Neodiprion lecontei: one gene and its partners. The protein of the gene in region 2 binds, or shares a complex with, the protein of the main gene of each other region. Links are inferred from orthologs where the notes say so. Each region holds a gene or a part of one and is shown on either strand. Other genes may lie near its edges. The genes, in order: eukaryotic translation initiation factor 3 subunit H, eukaryotic translation initiation factor 3 subunit J and eukaryotic translation initiation factor 3 subunit M.

What was found.
Region 1: eukaryotic translation initiation factor 3 subunit J (region 2) and eukaryotic translation initiation factor 3 subunit H share a complex: the UniProt entries of both Drosophila melanogaster proteins name them as parts of the eukaryotic translation initiation factor 3 (eIF-3) complex. The link is inferred for Neodiprion lecontei from reciprocal best matches to the Drosophila melanogaster genes eIF3j and eIF3h.
Region 3: eukaryotic translation initiation factor 3 subunit J (region 2) and eukaryotic translation initiation factor 3 subunit M share a complex: the UniProt entries of both Drosophila melanogaster proteins name them as parts of the eukaryotic translation initiation factor 3 (eIF-3) complex. The link is inferred for Neodiprion lecontei from reciprocal best matches to the Drosophila melanogaster genes eIF3j and eIF3m.

The regions. Positions count from the first base shown.
Region 1 is NC_060262.1:35,038,291-35,041,907, reverse strand, and holds eukaryotic translation initiation factor 3 subunit H, read right to left. Parts: upstream 1,779-3,617; 5' UTR 1,589-1,778; coding exon 578-1,588; 3' UTR 507-577; downstream 1-506. Other genes in the region: coiled-coil domain-containing protein 174, read left to right, coding at 2,054-3,617. UniProt on the Drosophila melanogaster protein: Component of the eukaryotic translation initiation factor 3 (eIF-3) complex, which is involved in protein synthesis of a specialized repertoire of mRNAs and, together with other initiation factors, stimulates binding of mRNA and methionyl-tRNAi to the 40S ribosome.
Region 2 is NC_060260.1:36,068,695-36,074,779, reverse strand, and holds eukaryotic translation initiation factor 3 subunit J, read left to right. Parts: upstream 1-1,901; 5' UTR 1,902-2,040; coding exon 2,041-2,056; intron 2,057-2,171; coding exon 2,172-2,254; intron 2,255-2,600; coding exon 2,601-2,714; intron 2,715-2,947; coding exon 2,948-3,086; intron 3,087-4,515; coding exon 4,516-4,680; intron 4,681-4,760; coding exon 4,761-4,957; 3' UTR 4,958-5,562; downstream 5,563-6,085. Other genes in the region: putative nuclease HARBI1, read right to left, coding at 60-268, 390-686, 799-1,065. UniProt on the Drosophila melanogaster protein: Component of the eukaryotic translation initiation factor 3 (eIF-3) complex, which is involved in protein synthesis of a specialized repertoire of mRNAs and, together with other initiation factors, stimulates binding of mRNA and methionyl-tRNAi to the 40S ribosome.
Region 3 is NC_060265.1:2,938,251-2,943,315, reverse strand, and holds eukaryotic translation initiation factor 3 subunit M, read left to right. Parts: upstream 1-1,957; 5' UTR 1,958-2,067; coding exon 2,068-2,112; intron 2,113-2,301; coding exon 2,302-2,481; intron 2,482-2,566; coding exon 2,567-2,661; intron 2,662-2,867; coding exon 2,868-3,086; intron 3,087-3,206; coding exon 3,207-3,475; intron 3,476-3,584; coding exon 3,585-3,728; intron 3,729-3,997; coding exon 3,998-4,206; 3' UTR 4,207-4,494; downstream 4,495-5,065. Other genes in the region: cysteine--tRNA ligase, cytoplasmic, read right to left, coding at 1-90, 177-317, 446-788, 1,154-1,338. UniProt on the Drosophila melanogaster protein: Component of the eukaryotic translation initiation factor 3 (eIF-3) complex, which is involved in protein synthesis of a specialized repertoire of mRNAs and, together with other initiation factors, stimulates binding of mRNA and methionyl-tRNAi to the 40S ribosome.

The DNA of each region.
Region 1 (3,617 bases), on a different chromosome or scaffold from region 2:
AAAGTGAAGCATACGGTAACCTGACATTACCAACAAAGGAATTAGAAGCTGTTCTGCGGAATTACCGATGCCAAGCAGAATTGTAACGCTGCATTATGCGCCTATATACTATGTACCGATTTTGCATGCGAAAATTAAGAGCATGTATATATACATATATATATATATATATATTTAATTCCAATAACGGTTGATGGAAGACTTCCGGGGAAGAAAATTGCACCATTCTGCTATGAGGATTCTATTTTATACTGGCCCAAACTAGCCCAGACGTGGCAAACGATTGCAACAAAGACCAGGATCTTGCAGTCAAAATATTTATCGTTTCATATTTACTTATCAAATATACAAATAATAAATCAACACTGGCAATATTGTAAATTGATACCATAGATTGCACAAATTTTAAGAATAAGTATTGAAAAACCGTTTGGAATAATTTGAATACACTGTAATATAAAGAAAAAAGAAGAAATAATATTTAGTTTAGTAATTAGTCCAATCAATGGTTTGAAAGGAAAACAGTTTTATTGTTTTCAATTGGAATACAACGAGTCTCTGCACAATAAGCTACAGATTAATTGGTAGACTTGGATTCCTTGGCATTCTGTAGACTCTGGGTGATGTACAACTTTGCCAAACTTTGAGAACAGAACTGCGATATGTGCTGACTATAGGTGTTTATCTGTCCAGCAACGATCATGGGGTTCAGCCTGGGGGGAACAGGCAACGGCCTGAGCAGCTTGTTGATATCGTCATCGGGTAGAGGCGCCTCGTCCTTAGCAGCCCTGGCTGCGTTCTCCTGTGCCCGCTTTTGCATCAAACGATTCTTGTCTTGTTGCTGACGAATAACCAAATGCTGATGACGGTTGAACTTAATAGCTTCTTGGTTCAGCTCATCTACTCTGTCCATCAAGCACCTCAGCTGGTTTTCCAGGACCGTGGCGGTACCGAGGTCAAGATACTTGGTTCCTTCTTCTTCGGGAATCATTTCCTCTAGTTCAGACATCATGATGTTTGTAAGATTGCTGTTCTTTATGACAATCGGCACTTCGACGAATAGAGATTCGTAGCCAATTTTTAACGTGCGCAGCGCATCGGGCGTAAATTCTCCTTCCTTGTACATTTGGATCGCTTGTGGAGTCAAGCGATAAGCCTTTAGTGTCAAAAAGCCCCTAGCAGACTTGGCCGTGTCGTAAATAACCACCACTGACTCTTCGATGGATGTCTGATAGTGAAACTGCGATTCCAACAGAGGATGGCTCAGAAAGTTTCCAACGTCAGCGCTCTGGTACCAACCAACGTGAAAGTGGTCGACGTTCACTCTACGCAGCCTGCGCATCATGGCAAGTTGATATTCCTCTTCATCCATGGTTTCATCGTTCTTGGGAAACGGAAAGCAGTTGGTGATCTCCAGCCGATTGTTGACAACCAAACCAAGCAGAGCACCCTGAGCGACTTCCATGTTGCTCGTGGATTCTTCATGACAGTGTTTCACCATTTTCATCACTGCCAAACCGTCGGTCTGAACGTAATCTATCCGGGACTCCGTCTCCGGTATCCTCCTCGATTGCCCTCGCGTTGTCATTTTGTTCAATTAAAAAATCACCTCTCTTGTGCACGAAGCGTTGCAAATTTCAACCACTCAATTTAACAAAAACCGTGCTTGATAGATAGGCAGATGGAGGACGGTACTCAGCTAGGTTAGGAAGGAAGGAACGACGGAAACAGGGCACAGCCAAAACCACCGGACCCGGATCAAAAGGAAACGTCAGAAAATTTTCGAGCTGTGTACTAGCGTCCTCTGAGCCGACGGAGGTTTTTACAACTAATTTTCGATAGCGCGTACATACATACGTGTCTGTATTCAAACCGTATTTACCATCTCGAACGCAGTCGATAATATAGTGCATCAAAAGTATGCAAGCTAAATTAAGTTAGGTTAGGTTTGGTTAGACAAATCAGAATCTTCCTGCCCTTCCTGCCAATATACGTATATAAACGTCAGTAAACAGTGAAATGGTAATAAACGTCAAATGATTTAAAATTGAACATGAATAATTCAAAGAAAATAAACGTGAATTATTCATCATTAGTGGGTTTGAAAGCTGAGCTTCTGAGGAAACAAACCGAAGTTAAAGACGCGAAAGCAAATGCGGAAGTAACTTCTATACAGTCTAAGCACAAGGTTAGGACTAAAAAGTCCAAGACGAAAAAAGTAAAAATTGAAAAAGAACTAATTGACACCGACGATATAAAAGCTCACAAAAAGTCGAAGTTGATGCTCGAAGCAAAAGCTAGGCTTTACGAAAATTTGAAAAGGTCACACAGCAATAAAAACGAACATTTTCTGGTCGACTTTGGTAACAAACCACAGTCAGAAGATGAGAAATTCGATTCGGATGATTATGAAGATGCAAACTCTGACCCGGAAGAAGACTGGGTTGAATACGAAGACTGCTTTGGACGGACAAGGAAATGCCTCCGTAGAGATTTGTCGACAATGCAGAAAAAAGATGACTTTGTAAAGCACGAAGTCATGAAAAAGTCCCAAGGAGATACCGAAGTTGAGGATGTCAGGCCTCCAGATGTTGTCACACCTCCGAAAGAGCCAGAGATTGAAATAATGCGAAGAAAATGGGAGGAGCAAACGGAAAAGTTGACTGAGAAAATGAATATTCATTATCAAGACATTCTCTTTGACGAAGCGAGAGCCCACGGCGTTGGATACTACGAATTTTCCCAGGATGAAGAAATGCGAGCGAAGCAGCAAGCAAACTTGGATGCATTGAGAAAGGAAACCATACAAAAACAAAAGGAAATGCAAAATCTAAAGGAAATGAAAGACAAAATGGAACAGAACAGGCTAAAGGCGGCTAGAATACGACAGAGAATAAGGGCTGGACTGCCCCCTGAGCCCACGGACGAGGAACTCGTGAAAAATGATGAGGTGAATACAGACAAGATGGAAGTTAAAGCAGAAACTGAAGAGAAAGTCGAATCTGATGAGAGGAAAATAATTGAATATAGGAAAGAAAATTCACTTATCGAAATTGAGAACAAGATAAAAGCTTTTGGCGAACTGCTTGGTAAAAGAACACAGTGGTATGAGATGTCGCAAGAAGAATGGGTCTACAAGCGGAGAAAAGATAGAGATGAAGAATTTGCCCCCTTATACAATAATTTTAGAAGTTCCGGGTATTTAGAATCCAAGAATACCGATCAGGACAAGGATGAAAGCTCAGCATCGCTCGATGATAGCTTATCTGGTAAAAATGAGGAAACCTCCGAAAGTCCTGCTATTATCGAAGAATGTGGCACAAAGAAAACGGCCGATCAACTCGATGGCACGGATAATCAACAAAGTCATATTCCGCATTCTGAGACTTCTACAGAGTTATCACAGATTACCATGCCTAAGCAAGTGATTAGCAATGCTGACACAGAATCATCGGATAGTAGTGGTTCAGATGTAATCGGACCGATGCCACTATATACCGAATTACCCACACAGCATGTGAATTTTCAACAAACATTCGCTACCCTGCCAGAAAATATGAGAACAGAATTATCAGGCATTGATTTTTCGAAACCACCTCCAAATATGCAATTTGGCC
Region 2 (6,085 bases):
TTTGTCAATTTTATGACTACTTATCGAAATCTAAAGTAATGCGATAATCTTTATCTTACCTTTGTTGAGCATCTGTAATTGGATTTGCCAGTGGAGTCAGCAGAAATGGCAAGCACGGATAGCCGGCATCTCCAACCAGGGTTCCAGTAAGTTGTCTCTCATGATACCGCATGTAAATTCGTGAATTTTGGAATATTTGACTGTCATGGTTACTTCCAGGCCATTCCGGAACCACATCCAAGAATTCCATATTGGGTCCGATAACTGCCTGTGGTATCATTTAAATTAAAAGTACCGATTTTCATAGAATAGTATTGTTTATTTGTATCCTAGATAAAATTAATTGCAACTTATGGTATTTGTAAACGGTTATCACCAACGCGACATACCTGTACATTGAGGGAAAAATATCCCTTACGATTCCTATAAACCTCCTGCAGGTCTGCAAATTTCGTATGACATAATCGAATGTGAGTGCAGTCGATAGCGCCATCAACGCCAGGTAAACCGATACCCTCCCTGCGTGCACCAAGTTGTCTGAATAGATCTCTGTTTGCGATCATAGCAGCTTCCGTACTAGGAAATTTGATAATTGCGTGAATCAATGATGCAATTTGAGCCGATACTCTGTGTATTATCCTCGATACTGTAGACTGCGATATAGTCATCAGATCTCCGTTGACGAGCTGTACAGTACAAAATGTATTAGCAATCATTTATTCCATGATCACAGGAAGCAATGAAATCACTTTATATTTTCAGTAGAATGTCAGGAATTATAATCACAATGATCCTTACTTGAAAGCTAGCGGTAGCGTAAAATCGTAGACATATTAATAATTGCATGACAGGTGGAATTGGTAGACCACGATTATTGGCACTGACTAAGGCAGCTTCAATTCTAGGTAGTATTCCGTACATAATACCATCCTTTGAAAATCGGAATCGCCGTTTGAACTCCTGCTCGGAATAAAACTCGAACGGGTTTTGACCATCTCTGATGTATCTCTTCGGAGCTCGCTGTACTTCACCCTCGTCTTCGTCATTCGGCCCAACGTTGACCATTGAACAATCATATTATTCATTTCTTCGATCTGATCGTAGAAATTAAACATATCTTGCATATTCGCCATGTCAGTAGAATTTCACTATTCACTTCACTTCACAAATTTTTCAAAGCGAATGCTCTCATAACCTCTACTTCAATTGCAAGTTTCCGTTGCTACCCTTTTACAGTAAATAATCCCGTCCCAGCTGCACTTTCCCAAACATTCCTTCACAATCTATTCCTGTTAATTTATATTGTTCGAATATAATATTTTCCAAACAATTCGTAATTATCAATTTCGTACGCATCAGAACAATTGAGTAATATTTAGGCAACAAGCATTTGCTTAAGTGCAGTCCGAACTCGACTTGATCAAGATACGTAAATAAGACTGCGTTAATTGACTATGAAACGTTGCGTGCTCAAGACCATGCTTATTTCAAATAAGACTGGACTATGCAACCTTGTAAGCACGCTTCGAATAAGACCGACTTGATGAAGACCGTCTTATTTGCCGCGTCTCAAGACCGTCTTGTTTGACGTCTATGGAACCAAACGCCATCTTAAGGCCTCGTATAAGACCGTCTTATTCGAGTCCGGTCTTAAGCACTGACTATGAATACCGGCCTAAGTATATTTTTCAAAATTTTTCTCAGCCACGCTATTCTCGAAGGTCATAGAAGAATTGGCGAGAGAGAGAGAGAGAGAGAGAGAGAGAGAGAGAGAGAAGAGATAGAATAGTTAGGGTTTTGAGACAGTAGAGGCGCTTCTTTCACTGTATCCGGTCAACTTCCACTCCGTACTATACTCTTTCTCTTTGTTCAAGTTTTTAGAGGACGAATGGACAGCCAGAGCTGCAACGGTAAACAGTTGAATCATTCGCCCCATGAGATTAAGGACAAGGCCCGCCGTGCACCGCCGTGGCTCGTTGATTTTTGTTGCGTGCACGGTTTTTCCGACTATTTGAGTGATATTTCATAAAAATCAAGATCATGGATGACGAGTGGGGTATGTATTTTAAATGATTAAATATTCTGTGCCGATACATTTGATCAAAGGAAATGAATTTCTCGTGATTCGGCTTAATTTTTGACAACTCGTTTCGTATCGTATCATATTGCAGACGCGGATAATGTTGAGGCCAAATTCGACCTCGCAATGAGGTCCAATAAATGGGAAGGCGAAGATGAAGAGGAAGACGTTAAGGTATCGAAGTACAATGTGATATTCAGTTAACAAACATTCGAATACTCTCATTAATTTCATTCTGCCTCCATATGTTTCACCACCAAGTTTTCATAACCTTGTCCTAATTACCGCATGGAATTTTTGAGTGTCTTTTCTCTATGAAAATTGACGACCTATCTTGCCCGTGTCAAATAAATCAATATGTATTCACTTTTATTCTTTAAACATCATTTTCTCAAAAGATGTGTATATTATTCCAAAGTCTTTGACATGATATTTTTTTCTTTCCCATTTCCATTACCACTTCATGTCAATAATCTCATTGACGCATACTTAATTGCTTAATATTTATTGACGTTATTAGGATAGTTGGGAAGATGTGGAAGAGGAAAAAAAAGATGTAGAAAAGGCTGCTGAGGTGCCAAAGGCTAAAGCAAAACCTAAAAAAACATTGGCCGATAAAATCGAGGAGCGTGAGGTCAGCGTCTCCATTACTAAAAAATGATTGTACTTATTTTATTTTCATTCATAGTCGCTTAATAAAAGATTCACTACAGTAACTTTGCTAATCGGTTTAATTGACTGAAATCTTACAGGATTGTTGAGAAATATTTCTGATATAGTAGATGAATCCTGTATTTAAATTCTCTATTGGGAGTATCAATCAAACGATACAAAGTATTTTAAACAAATCATTTTCTTCACATCTAGAAAAAGACGCGAGAAGAAGCAGAAAGAAAGGCGAAGGAAAAGGAAGAGGCCTTAACACCTGAGGAAAGGAGAGCGGAAATGTTGAGACGTCAGAGGCTTCAGGAAGAAGCGGATCTTCGACTAGCCATGGAAACATTTGGTTTGTCAAACCTTGTTGACTTTAGCCCCCGTAAACCACAAAAAAGTGAAAAAAAATAACAATTCTCCCCTGCTATCAAATATTCTCACAATCATAATAATTATTATTAATCCACTTGTACTATCTATCACTTTTAATTTTTACCTGTATTCGAATCTGCTGTATCTCAGATTATTGTCAGATTTGTGGAATTTTATTTTTATTGATATTAAATTTATCTGTTGCACATAATTTTAGTTTTCTGGTGTTGCTACAGATATTTTTTTTTTTACCGAAACATTCTTACAACAACCCCGACACGTATGAATTCTGGTGAACGTATAACAGTGAAATATACCATAATTAATTTAATACTAGAATTAACCTTGAGGCGATATTTCGTAAATAACATAAAACTTAATTCAATCCTGAGATAATTGATGAAGCTGATTCAAATTCTCAATTATTCAAATTTGACTGATGCTTAATTCTTTCGATATACTTTGACTCATGTGTGGTTACCGCGAGATTAGGCAAGCTTAAGACATTGTGATAGATTTTCGAGGGGTATAGAATTCTGAGCCAATGAACTTGACGAAATTGTATCAAATTAGTCTATAAACTTAATCATAAATCAGATTCTTTGTTTCGAAGTAGTTTTTTCTTGAAATTTCAAGTTAAAATGATGAAGTCTAATTTAATTAGTGATTCTGAATACGTTTTGCATTATTTTTCATTGCTTGAACATACGTAGAAAAGCGCAGTATTAAGGATGAAAATAACCACGTAAACATTTCCACCTAAGATTAATGAAATATTAAGTGAAAGTAACGTTAATTTTTTTTTTTATCTAACAACATTAAGTTTCGAAATGCTACATTAATGAACCTATAATTGTCAGGAACTGTACCAGAGATGAACGAAATCCATACGATTTATTACCAATTTTAATACAATGAAATTTAATAATGTTATGTATTTTAATAAAATTGATATTTTGCACAAACAAACTGTTGTGTCCACGTCAGTCTTTATACATCCTTGCATACTGTTTTTAATCTCCTGTATTGTTCCTGATGAGCTGTTCGATAATGTATTCCTTATTTGTATCTCATTTTAAAGGTGTGTGGTGAAGATTGTATGGCTTCTAGCTACACAAATTTTTGTTTATCTTAAAATCTTTAAAAACGAAAATGCGCAAGTATTAAACAATAACAAGAAACTCCTATTTTAAATTAATAACAACCGTTTTAGGTTCCATCAAGTATTTATACACTTGTGAAACTTAAAATTATTTTCTAATTACTTATTAACTGGATTGGGTAGAAGTATAAGATGGAAAGAAAATGCTATCACGAAAATTGAAGATACAGGTCAAAAATTTGTATGTGCTGTTGTCAAGTTACCAGTGTTATCTAATTTATTATGAAACTCACGTTTTTATGTTAAGGTGTGAACCCTGAAGCTGCTACAGGACTTGACTCTATGACACCTGACACAAAAGAAGATTTCGACCAGTTCAGTGAAGCACTTTTAAAGAAAATAAACCAATTCAACAAGCATGCTGAGTTTACCACGTTCGCCGAAGAGTTCATTAAAAACATTGCCGTGAATTGTTAGTATCTTACTCTTTATGGAATATTATCTTTCTCAATCATATGCACTCTTTTTTAATTGAAATTAAAATTGTTGCAGTGTCTTCGACAAGTTTGAAAAAAGTGAAAACGACAATTGAAAATTTAGCTATCGAAAAACAAAAGATTGAAAAAGGGGATAAGGGTAAGAAGAACAAGGGTAAAGGCAAAGCAAAACTACGAGTCGAGGGTGATAATTCACATCTAAATGAGTATGGCGATTATGGTTTTGATGACGAATTTAATGATTTTATGTAGCGCCGAGATGTAAGTGAAAGTCAGTTACTGTTACAAAACAACAATCTGCATACATGGAAACAGACAAAAAATAGATTTATTATACAAAATGTAAGAAAGTGACAGCCAAAAAAACTAAAAACATGCAGCTCCAACATGAATGTACTAATACATGACGATTGTAAGGCATGTAGATCCATGCCCGTTATTATACATGTTGAATATTATTATTAAATCACATCGAAACCAGAGTTTGTTGTCATTATTTTTTTTTGGTTCAGTGGCTATTTCTATTAAGCCAGTTTAGTGCAGATTTTACAATATCAAATTTAAATATCTATATAGTTAGATAACTTTGAATATTAAGAATTGCTCTAAATTAAAGAAATGACAATTTAGAGCCATGAGTTGATTGTTACCACGCTACTTTAATTCAATTTCAAATACTATTAAAACTATTACTTACGTCTGTTCTCCTACCCGCAGTTCTTCATGCAATGCAATAATCAATGTTAATAAATTTTGTATAACTAATAACAACTACTTACATTGTGCGTATTGGTTGATAAATCAAAGTTGATTTTAAAAAGAATATATTAAGTAATAAAGGATCACTGAAATGCGAATGTTGAAACGTCATTTGCTGTTTATTACCAGAAAAATTCACTTCGATTAAACTTGATAAACCCTACAACATTTATCATCCAGTTCTCTTACGTTCAATCTCAGACAATCAATTTTTCAGCACTGTGAATTTGATGTGGTGTCAGAAATAAACATGTTCCACAAGTCGAATGTGCGACTGTAAACAAAAAAAGAAGTCGTCATTATTTTGAGGAACCAAAATGGATTGGACGTTTCCTGAGGGTTAAGAAGCCTTGAATTTTTTGTCCTATCTGAGAAAATGGAAGTACTCATGGTTTAGTGCGTCAGCAACATTAACTGTTTAGTTAATTCATTTGATTTTTGCATCTTCTTTGATGACAGTGATTTAATGACTGCATAAATCTCAGCCTTTGCTCTAGGACCTCAGCAGTTACTGTTTACAACGAACTGTTCCTACGAAAATCTTATACAGTCATGGTATCTCCAATGCACAAATGTCTATGGTCATTGGCCTTTAAAATAGAAATATATCGGCCATTATCC
Region 3 (5,065 bases), on a different chromosome or scaffold from region 2:
TGCAAGATTATTAGCAATGATTTTTTTGATATAATCTATAATTTCAGGAATGTATTCACTAACTCTGGTCAGCACATTCGGTCGCAACACCTGGAAAATGTGCGATTTTTTAAGAGCGCTAGAATTATAATTAGAACTGCTTCTTTCCATTAATGTTAATATGTATCAAGGCTTACATTAAGGGCATCCATATCTTTGTGATACTCTGTCTCCCAGTACTGCGGAAGCTTGCTAAAGATGGAATTTTCAGTAACTGTAGATCCCTTTTCTCTATCAAGCCATTCAGCAAGAGGATCCCTGGCTTGGTTCAGTAAGGCCTGCAAAATCAATTCCGATATTCCATCTGGTTAGATCCCTGAGTAGTCAGCTCCATTTGATTGATGTAAAATTTACTCAATTTTTAATTAAAATGAATAAAAGTGTGAGGAATAATATCTTCCCTTACATTCTGGGACTCTTTCAACTTGACTTGGTCATTTTCTTTAACAGCCTTTTCAAGATCTTCCACTGCCATGGTAATTTTCTTCAGCATTGTTTCCATCATACGGGTCTTGTCGGGATCAGAGGTAGACCTGACTGTACCTTCAAATGCCGTCATCACCTTCTTCGCGTCATCCAGTACTTTGTCGAGATTGTGGTTTTCTTTGATGTACTCTTCGTACAAGTGGTTTTGTCTTGCTCTTTTTATAATTTTGTCATCAATATCGGTGATATTCATCACGTATAAGACATCATAGCCAAAGTAGTCGGAGAGTACACGTCGCAATATATCAAAAGATATATAAGACCTGAACATATGAAATTCAACATATTTGTTGGGAAAGCTTAAACCTGTTAATAGTTATTGATATTTGATAACACAATCTCTGACACTAACATTCTGTAAGCATATCAAATGTGAGCGAACAAAACAAAGATAAAATGTTTTTATTAACATTGCCCAATAATAATGCTGTCGATTGGAAGCTTCTTGTCTCAAAATATGTATGATCAACTTCTTTAACGACAGCAGAAATTTTTTTTCAATTAATGAAAATGAACAAAATGTAATAAACCAAGACCTCATTTTATTATCCTGCTAATACATGGTACTAATGAAATATTGGAAGAAAATTCAAGGGGAAGATGCATTCTAAATAAACAATAAGTATACCTAGCGTGGCCCATATGTGAAGCGTCGTACACCGTTGGACCGCAACTGTACCAGTAAACTCTATTCCCATTTTGAGGTATGAATTCCTCTTTTTGTCGAGTTAGACTATTGAAAAGTTTCAGAGTCAGACGAGATTTGGTATCTGGTGGACTCCATGACGGTTGCGAACGCTTGTTGTTAGACATATCGAAAGCCTGTTTGGAACGTATTATTTATAGAAAATAACGATCATTTGCGGTCAAATATTTTCAATTAAGAGAACAATTCAAGTGTTGAAATAAAACAAACCTGGTTTAGCAATGAAAGGTATTATATGTAAAAACAAATCTCAACTCACCGAAAAGACGAAACAAGAGATGAAGAATCGAATTTAAATAGTTCGTTAATTAGGAGTATAAATAAAGACCGCCCTGGTCTCAGCTCTGACTCACGCCTTAAAACGTCATTTACGACACAGGTAAAAATTCTCAAGTAACCGTGGCTCGTGCAGCGTGTACCAGCATTTCCTTCCTCTCCCTCTTAATGACCAACCGAGTGAAATTAGACCCGAGTTTTATTTCCGTTCGTCAGGATGACCACCCCGACACTGAGCACGTGAAACTGACAGCTGTCAAATGCGACCCGCAACATCCACATACTTATTTATGATGCAGTGATATTAGCGCAAAAGTGATCTAGAGTCAGTATTGTTTGCTCATCTTTTGAATTTATTCCCAAATTTTCGATCAAACGTGTACGGCGTCTACGATCAGTCATTGATCACTGAACCCCAATCGTTGGATTACGTGTCACCCGAATGTTTTTCTCACGTTTCTTAGCCTGGTCGGGCTGCCAGTGAGCAATCACCAAAGCATAGTGAGCGAGACCTTTTCGACGTGTTCGCTGCACGGAAACGTGGTTCGCAACATCTCAAAATGCAGGTTCCAGCGGTTTTTATGGATTTGCCCTTAGAGGACCAAGTAAGAAGATTTCATAATCATTTCCCGAGCTCTATTCCTTCGAATTAAGCTTAAATTTTGGCAACGTTACATATTAAAAAACTTATTCTGAAATTCTGTAATTCACTGACGGGCGTTTAGGCTTAGGTTAGGTTTACGTTCGTATGGACTTTCATTATTCAATCATTAACCAATCTTTCACTGTAACAGGCACAAGAATTAAGGGTATATTTCAAGAGTTTGGGCGCTGAAATAAGTGAGGAGAAATCACCGAGAGGAATCGAAGATGATTTGCATAAAATCATTGGCGTCTGCGACGCCTGTTTCAAGGAGGGAAATGAAACTGAGATTGAGACAATTCTAAACGATATAGTCTCCATCATGGTTCTGGTGAGTTGTCTGTGCGAATATCAAATCGCACCTTGACATTTGGATAACTTGTTCCAACGAATTTTCTTGCATTATTCCTTTACAGATTCCTATTGAACGTGCTGAAAATTTAATATTGGCATTCTGTGAAAAGTTGACAAAAGCTCCAGGTCAAAAACTAGGAGTTGTCTGTCTAAAGGCGTAAGCATTTTTAAAATTTGTTCCTTGGATATAAAATTAATCCTGTACATAACAAACCATGAAATCTAAAATCTAAACCTATCAAAAAAGTTCGCATTGTAATTATACCAGCCTTTGAATAAATTAATTAATTAAGTAGATAAATAATAAAGAATTTCGTGACTGAAACATTTAACGACTGACTGAAATTACATGCTTCGTTATAGGCTCTGGCTCCTGTTTCAATCCTTGGATGAAAAATCGCCCATGAGATATCATGTTTACTACCACCTGGTACAAATTTCACGCAATGTGGATCAAGTCAAAGCTGTGTATGGCGGAGTGGATCAACTGAAGGCACAATTTGCTCCGTGTCCACCATCCAATGAACAAATGCAGAAATTATATCGCCTCTTGCACGAAGTGTTACTCAGTTGTAAACAAAGGTAAAGAAACTGAAAAGCTAAAAATAATTAAAAGTCTTTCAATTATTCTAAAAACGTAATTCGTTAATTTTATACCACTGTTTCCGTACAGTAATTCATTTTTTGAACGATACCTTTCAGTGAACAAGCAGCTGCAGTGATGGTTGCCCTACTAGGTACATATACCGCTGAAAGTGCATCTGCTCCCAGAGAAGATGCCCAGCGTTGTATTTTGGCTGCGCTTGCCGACCCGAATACTTTCCTGCTGGATCCGCTGCTGGCTCTGAAACCTGTGAGATTTTTAGAAGGAGAGCTCATTCACGATTTACTTCTAGTTTTCGTCCAAGAAAAATTACCCGCATATCTTCAGTTTTACAAAAATCATAAAGAATTCGTCGAGCATATACTAGGTGTGTTATATGTACAAATTGAAATAGATTTACCAAGTTTCCAATATTTTCAGAAATCTTTAGAAAAATAACAAGCGATTCGCATTTTTTAAAAATTCACGTTATGCAGGATTGAACCACGAGCAGAACATTAAAAAGATGCGATTACTGACATTTATGCAGCTTGCTGAAACAAATCCTGAAATGTCATTCGACACTATTCAATCTGAACTGCAAATCGAGGAGAATGAAGTAGAAAGCTTTATAATCGATGGTAAGAGTTTCATGAATATTTAGATTGTTCAAATCCTTATCCCAAATCATATTACACACGCCTGATTTCTTATGCATGGGTATTTACGAAATGGGAAATATCAAATGAACCAGTACTGGCTCAGCAAAATCTAAATTGCTGTTGAGTTATCGAGTTGTTCAACAGAAACTATATTGGCGCACTAAGATAATCATCGTACAAATTACTGCGAACTACTCGTCTTATATCTTTGCTATGTGAGATCATTACTCAAGTTTTGACTTTTATAGTTTTGAAAACCAAACTGGTTCGAGCTCGAATGGATCAAGCTGGCCACAAAGTGCTCGTATCAAGCACAATGCATCGAACATTCGGCCGTGCTCAATGGACCCAACTAAGGGACCTATTGGCGGCATGGAAAACCAATCTTTCTGCAGTTCAGGAAGGCATGAAAACTGTTGCGGCAGCTCAAATCGAACTTGCGGCAAAAACAAAATGATCCGAATAGTAGCAAATACATTTCATTTCGATCCAGCTCACGATGACATATGGAAGTATATTTTACGTTCAATCACACATGAAACACTTTTACAACTTAAGTATTGCTGTGATTACTGTATTCCATTTTGACCGATAGTGGGCAATTATGTAAACCTTTTAAATTTGATTTATTCCTCATATTATTATAAAGAACTCAGTTACTCCAAACCATGTTACACAGATGTAATGAATGCAGTAGCTCCATTTTTTAACATTAAAAAACAAAATTATTGGAATACAAACCCAATTTCTATCAAAATACGTTCCATTAGCGTTCCATAACCAGTTACTCTGCTGTCATTAACTGATGCAACTGTTTTCCAGTGCGAAATATGGCGTAAATATACATACAACCAATTACCTTTGAATAAAAATCATCAACGTAACACTAAAACTGGGGTAATGTAATGTTCGTATATCCTTCTTAATATGATAAACCTTTTATACGGCACTTGATATAAGATTTCTCATTGCACATACATTAATTATTAGCCGCCTCCTATTAGTAGAGCAAGTAATATTCATCAAGACATTTATGATATCATCTGTAGTACCACTCGTCGGCATAATGGTAAAAACTTTACTGTCGACATAAGTTTCTCACAAATTCCTTAGTAGCTGTCTTTCAGGATTCATTTTAGAACACAATATTACATTTTCATTCACAAATATGGATTTGTAATTTTAAAAAGATATATTGAAAAACTAGTACCGAGTACTTGTAATGCAAAGAATTTGATGGAGTGTCCCCAAACAAAATGTATTTAGTAATATTGGGAACATCACAGAAAAACAATAACTTAGAGTCGAGTAGAAAA